2 linked regions of the Oryzias latipes genome follow. The protein of the gene in region 1 interacts with the protein of each later gene in a biochemical or structural test. Links are inferred from orthologs where the notes say so. Each region holds a gene or a part of one and is shown on either strand. Other genes may lie near its edges. The genes, in order: beta-2 adrenergic receptor and grk6.

What was found.
Region 2: the proteins of beta-2 adrenergic receptor (region 1) and grk6 form a complex in vitro, tested with the Homo sapiens proteins (2 studies listed by BioGRID, with this or other methods). The link is inferred for Oryzias latipes from reciprocal best matches to the Homo sapiens genes ADRB2 and GRK6.

Annotation. Positions count from the first base shown.
Region 1 is NC_019868.2:20,753,222-20,757,696, forward strand, and holds the start of beta-2 adrenergic receptor, read left to right. Parts: upstream 1-1,565; 5' UTR 1,566-1,738; intron 1,739-1,997; coding exon 1,998-3,245; 3' UTR 3,246-4,475. UniProt on the Homo sapiens protein: Beta-adrenergic receptors mediate the catecholamine-induced activation of adenylate cyclase through the action of G proteins. The beta-2-adrenergic receptor binds epinephrine with an approximately 30-fold greater affinity than it does norepinephrine.
Region 2 is NC_019872.2:29,855,919-29,858,488, forward strand, and holds the end of grk6 (G protein-coupled receptor kinase 6), read left to right. Parts: intron 1-413; coding exon 414-548; intron 549-775; coding exon 776-826; 3' UTR 827-1,869; downstream 1,870-2,570.

The sequences.
Region 1 (4,475 bases):
CTGAATTTCAGCCTGACCCAATAAATAACAGTGCTCCTTTATTTCTTCTATATACTAACAAACAGGCAAGATGACCATGCCATAAGAATGGTCACTTTGCCAATGGTAATTTAGGTCACACATTTACGTCATCTCATTGTTCACCTTGTGACTGTAAAAAGATGAAACACCTTGATAAATGTCAAAGTGTATTCCCATGAAGGATTTCTTCTAAATGAGGGCTCAGACATATGGCATCTCTTATCTTTAATCTTGTCATGCCTTGAAAATCCACCACGAAACACCAGGTTTTGGTTTCTATGGTTGGTGTTAATGCAGGTATATAATCCAAAAAACGTCAAGCATCCTCTATTTAATCTCAGGAGTGGAACTGTCTTTGGATTTTTTCCAAACCACGTACGCTCTAATCTATCTAATGTGCGTAGAAGAAAATTATGCAATTCAAGATTTTGCGCAATTGAGCAAAAATCTTTGTGATCTTTAAGCAAAAAATCAGCGGTAAAAAACACATTACAACAGTCTCAAACATTTGCAAAAATCTTTGTTGTTTTCTTTTTCTGTAGTTTGTAAACCTTTTAAGACCTGTAACCTAAAAGGATAAATAAAATGTGCACGTTTATTGATACTTGCACATTTAATACACCTTCGAGAAAAAATACTTTAAAAAAAGGCTGAAGTACAAAAGTGTCACAAAAGATTAGGTTAAAGGGTTAGGATTGAGGGTATTGGATCATTTTATTACAGAATCATTTTTAAAAAGAGATATATTAACTTAAAAGAATTCAATAAGCATTGAAGACTTTCCGTGAAGTGTTTTTACGCATTCACAAACCAAGCAGAACTATCATTGCATTGTTGAAATTTGAATAAATGAGGTTTAGTTTGCATAGATCACATGTATGGAATAAATGTGGTCATAAAAGTGCAAATTTGTTCTTGATCCTCAAAGGCTTTCTTTTAGCTCTTGCTGTGAAGATCACTGCGCCTTTTACGTACCAAAACACTGAGGTCATTTTTACAGTTTGACCTTTGGATGTTAAAATGTAAGCATATGTTCTTGTATTGGCGAAGGTCCTGATTTTTATATAAAAGAGCAGCCTACAAAACTCAAAGGTTTTGTCAGGACAAGAAGTGTGTTAAAGCTCCAATCCAACCACTCAATAGATCTTGACAAAATTCACTGAGCTACACTTGCCAGTTGGATCACTTGTGAATCCAGCCTGATCTTACAAATGCTCAAAAAATGCTTTAACTAGTTTTAATTGGATACAGATTCACAAGCATGAAGCTGTAAACTCATACAGGAACATAGCATAACAGGAAGTAGACTTTATGACTCGAGCTGAAATACAGCTCGTAGATTTCAGTACAAATTTGCAGGTTTTTTAAATATGTAAATGTTTGCCTGTGTTGGCTGCCGTATGTCTCATGCAGCCCTGCAGCAGCAGCTGTTGGGACAGTGTGTTCAAACTCCTGTGAGCGCTCAGCACCCTCCACAGGCTAGTGCGCTGATTGGCTGAGCTCTGACTGTGATGTCACCATTGCATGCTATAAGGACTCTGAGACACATCAGAGGAAACACTGCTCAACGGAACGACTTGGTAGAGAGACAACTGGAGCTCAACCCGAACAAAAAGTACAGGGGCATGTGAGCCTTGCCAGTCTTACAGGAAGTATTTCAACACTGACATTCTGACATTTTTATGGGAGGCTGGGAGCAAAACAACGACCTGTCGAGGTTGGTATTTTTGCTCTTTCTTGACTCAACTTGTTTTTAAAGCATGGAGCCAAAAAGGTCGTTATGGCTGGTGCCTCTGCTGTGTTTTTTTTAATCTTTTGTTGCTTTGCTTGTTTTTTTGTTTCAGATACAAACATTCATGTTTTAAACTTTATTATTGCTGCATTTATTTAGTTCCCATAAGTTAGATACATGTTTGAATTGTGCACTTCCCCTCTTTTTACTGTGTCTGATGATTTTCTGCATGTGATTTCTTCAGATGGGAGTTACAGTCTCTCCAGTCTACTCGAATGTGAGCACTACGTCATTGTCCAACAACGAGACGGGCCACAACGAGATGGGCCTCAACGAGACAGGCCACAGTGAGACGGCTATGATCCTGATGGGCATCGGAATGTCTTTTCTGGTGCTGTGCATTGTCTTTGGAAACATCCTGGTCATAACAGCAATCGCTCGCTTTCAGCGTCTCCAAACTGTCACCAACTGCTTCGTCACATCTCTGGCGTGTGCAGACCTGGTCATGGGTCTCATTGTGGTTCCCTTTGGTGCTTTAAACATCATCTTCGTTAAATGGCACTTTGGTAAATTCTGGTGCGACTTCTGGACTGCCACAGATGTCCTCTGCGTGACTGCAAGCATCGGGACCCTTTGTGTCATCGCTATTGACCGTTACGTGGCCATTACTGCACCCTTCCGCTACCAGTCACTATTGACAAAGTGCAGAGCTCGAATTGTGGTCATCTTTATATGGGTGATTGCTGCTTTGACATCCTACCCGCCCATTCATATGAACGTGTGGAGATCCAATACATCGGAAGCTGAGAAATGTCTTAATAAAACAGACTGCTGCCAGTTTCACACAAACATACAATATGGAATCACCTCCTCCATCATCTCCTTCTACATCCCTTTGATCATCATGGTTTTTGTCTACAGCCGTGTTTTCCTGGCGGCCAAAAGGCAGCTAAAAAAGATTAACCAAAGCGTTGGACGCTTTCATGTAGATTCTTCGGAGGACAAGAATGGCCGTGGACAAAAGAAGGCAAAGTTTTACTTGCGTGAACACAAAGCCCTGAAAACTTTGGGTATCATAATGGGGACCTTTACTCTTTGCTGGCTACCATTCTTCATCCTTAATGTAATCGCGTCCATATGGAACGTGAACAACTATAGCGTATTTATGATTCTGAACTGGATAGGCTATTCAAACTCTATGTTCAACCCTGTCATTTACTGCCGGAGTCCTGAGTTCAGGTACGCTTTCAAGGAACTCCTGTGCATCAGGAGGAACCATCTGAGCCACCAAGGCCAAACAAATGGATACATCTACAGCAGGCACAGCTGGCAGAGTGAGCAGCAAGGGAGGAGCAAGTGCAACTCGGAGGACAGTGATGCCAATGAGGCTTGTCTGATAAAAGGTGCAGGGGTGGGCAGTGGTGTGGACAGAGCCATAGACCCCAATGGAAACTGCAACAAAGGTATAACGACTGTCACAACTGCCCTTTAAGCACGGACCACCGACCCTTCAGTCAACAGAGAAAGATGAAAGCCTATACACTTATGAACATTTAGGGCTTTTCTCTCAATCGCTGATTAAGGTAAGGCCAGTCAAAGTGGCTGGCAGTGTTTCAAAAGTGTTTCAGAGAACCTGCAACGATCACATCAAGCTGAGGAACATTTTTTTTAAGTTAAACATAGTGACTACATATTGTAATGTATTTTTTTTATTACATGATGACTACATCTACCTCCCTAACGGCTTTACAGTGTTAGTTTCTTTACCGGCTTACATTCTTACCTTTGGAGTTAAACGAGAGCGATGTCTCAGCTGTGTGTTGAGCCTAATAAATGGCGTGTGAATAGTACATTTGCAGATTATAAGGCTTCATCCAAAACCTTAGGGCATGCTTTATTTATTTTTTGCTCTTTCTTGAGGAGGGAAGCCACAGTTTTTTGTATGGTATAAAACTGTATTTGAGATTTTCCATGCGATTTTTCTTCCAATGCAAAGAATGGATTTTTGAACCAGTCTTGGTCTTTGCATCAAAAATTACATTCCGACAACACTTGAGGAATCTATTAAGTTGTAATCTTTTTTTCAGGGAGCTATATTGGCTACGCGTGAGGCAAAACACGTCTCAGTCCTGCTCTACTGTGCAAGACTGTGTTTAAAGGAGTTTATGTTGTCAGCAGAAAGCACAAGAGATATGGCTGGCTAATCTAGATCCTAATGCTGAGCCTAAGGAACGCCTGTAGCTGTTGGGTTAATGCCATCATAAAACATCAAAGCTTGTTTTATCAGATAACGAACCGTAAAATACCTATAATTTTTGGGAGGAACGCTAAGTGCAATAATATAAAACTTGGGCTGAAATGCTCACCGTTTTCATAAATTCAAACATTTCTTTTGGCTTGTTACATATACCTGAACTATGTCTATTTTCCACTTGTTGCAAATCTAAAACCACTTTTTTGTTACAAATAACAGTGAGAACGACGATTCTTTTTCTTCTGTGCGACAAATTTGAACCATAGTTGACCCATAGCTGCATGAGCCTTGTTTGTTTATCAGATTTTGCAGTTGCCATGTTTCAGTATGTGCACAGTTTACCGCAACCAGAGAAGCTGTTTCCTCATAGTGCAAGGGTACAGACAACACGTAATCATAAACAGGGTGTGAATGCAGCCAAATGACAAAGTTCTAGCACCAAGCCATAACGGTGAAGTCAGCAACCAG
Region 2 (2,570 bases), on another chromosome or scaffold:
CCTTCCTGCTCTGCATCATGTCCACTAACTTTTAGCTAGCTTTTATACAGCAAGTGAGTATATATGTGTGTGTGTGTGTGTGTGTGTGTGGGGGGGGGGGGTGCTATTGTGCCAGTTTTTAACGACATATATGTTTGTCTTGTCCTTTTGTTTTTAAATGTCATCATGTAAAGCACTTTGAGTACTTTGTGTTGTAAAAGTGCTAAACATATAAACTTTGAACTAGCTACCTTTTCCTGTTCCCACATTCAAAGTCTGTACTCTCAGCACAGGGAGACTTGCTTGGGCCCCTCATGGCTACAGTCAAACTTCTAAAAAGAGTTTCTACATTTCAGACTTTAGTTGATTAACTTAACAAAAAGGTCCGAGCTGTTTTGCTGAAGTGCAGATGGAGTTTTTTGTTTCTCCTGCAGATGATCGAGACGGAGTGTTTCTTTGAGCTGAATGTTTTCCACCAGGACGGCGTCGTTCCCCCCGACCTGGACTGGAGGGGTCAGCCGTCTCCACCCCCTAAACAGGGGCTGCTACAGCGGCTCTTTGGAAGACAGGTGAGTTAGCAGGTGGCAGTTACAGTAGCATCATGATGGCCTTCAGAGGTTTGGTTGGGGGAGGAGCCTTCAGAGGTTTGGTTGGGGGAGGAGCTTTCAGAGGTTTGTTGGGGGAGGAGCCTTTAGAGTTTTGCTTGGGGGAGGAGCTTTGGTTGGGGAAAGCTTTCAGAGTGTTGACCTTCACTAAGAAAACTGGGATATGATGTGCTCTCTTACTCCTCCTGCAGGATTGCTGTGGTAACTGCAGCGACAGCGAGGAGGAGCCCACCCGGCTGTGACAGACTGGCGCTCGCCACCTTTTGTTTACAACTTTTGCACATTTGTATTTTTGGGTCGTTCCATCGCTGGATGTCAGAATGTAAACCTCCAGCGGAACAGCAGTTTTTAAAGTTATTTAAGAATGAAAATAAGGAAATCCTTTTTTATGGTTGGCTTCCGTGTTTCGGGAAGGCCTCGCTCTTTTCTCCCACTCTGGACCAAGCGCCTGCTGTATAAGTGCCTTGCTCGAGGGCACAGTGGCAGGACACCCTCATCAGCCCCTCCACTTGCTGCATTTTTTCCACTCTTTTTGCTGCAACTGTTTTTCAGTTTTTAGCCAGTTTTTGTGAATTTTTGATATAATGGTTTTCTGGAGACAATCCATCTGTTCAGCCTCGGAGTTCTGGAGTTTTCCTGATCAGATCTGGGCTGAACCGTTGTGCCTTTTCTATGTATCTAAGTGGAGCCACCCAGTAGCGGTCTACAGAGACCACTCAGGCTTTAACAGAACCAGAACCAAAACTAAACATGTGTAAAAGGTGAAATCTGGGGTCAGATTCAGGTGCAGAGACTCCAGATTCTTGTTCTGGTCTCACTCCTCATCCAAAGACGCTTCATCAAAGCTCGGATCACCAGGAACCAGATTAGCCGAGTCTGAAGCTGCTCATGGGGACGACGGACGCCAGTCCCGAAATAAATCTGTGACGTGGACCCAGCGCGGTCCGACGTCGTTCCTGAGTCACTAACTCCTCCTCACCTGTTTATGTTTAAGGGCAGGGATCAGAACCTATGCAATGATGAGGAAACACGAGTCTCAAACATACCTGGGTTCCAGGCAGGTGAGCCGAGCGTCTCCAGTCAGGATGGAGAGGACCTCTTCCACGTGAGCTGTTGAGAATGATTCCAATGAGACACGTTTATGGAAAGGTCTGGATTGTAACCACTTTGGAATTGTAGAAAATGTTCTTCTTTTCTCCTAAATGAGTTAAATGTTTGTCTGCTAAACTCCCTAAAAATTGGTTGTTTGTTGGAGTCAGAAATAAACGGAACTGATTCAGAACGACGTCTGTCAAGATGGTGGTTTATTTTTCATGAAGTCAGTCTGATGTGAGGTCTTTCCTCCAAGCAGATTTCAAGATCTGCAAATTAAAAACCAGATAGGCGTAAAAAGTAAAACTGTGGGATTACAGAAGGAGAGAAAAAGAGAAACATCTTTGACTTTTCTTTGAATGTGGCTCCGCCCACTAGTGGGTGGAGGTCTTGTGTTACCATGGCAACACAACACTGAAAAATTGTCATTCATACAAAACTGGCAAAACACATCAGAACCAAAGAAGATTGGAAGTCCAGATGTCATGACCCAACTTCAAGACATCAGAACCAAGAGCACTGACTTGTGGTGTTCCTCAGGGTCCCGTTCTAGGTCCCCCTTGTAGCTTGTGGACAGTTTAGTCGTGTCTCTCGTAGATGATTCCCAGCTTGAATGATAATTTAACAAAATAGATGTGAAGGCAGAAATCTGTCTTTGGGACTTTCTGTCTGAGATTTGAAGCGATAAAAACGTCTTTACTTTCAATTCACCTTTGAAAAACAAAACTATGTTTATTTCACTATTAGCTAAATTCCAAAAAACAATTTGTGACTAACTTTCTGTTCTTTCATCTGAACAATCTTGACCAGATTTATGTTTGTGGCCTTCAGCTGTTTGATTGGTTGTTCTTTTATTGGTGCAGAACCTTCAGCAGAAGGTCCACATCTCTGCAG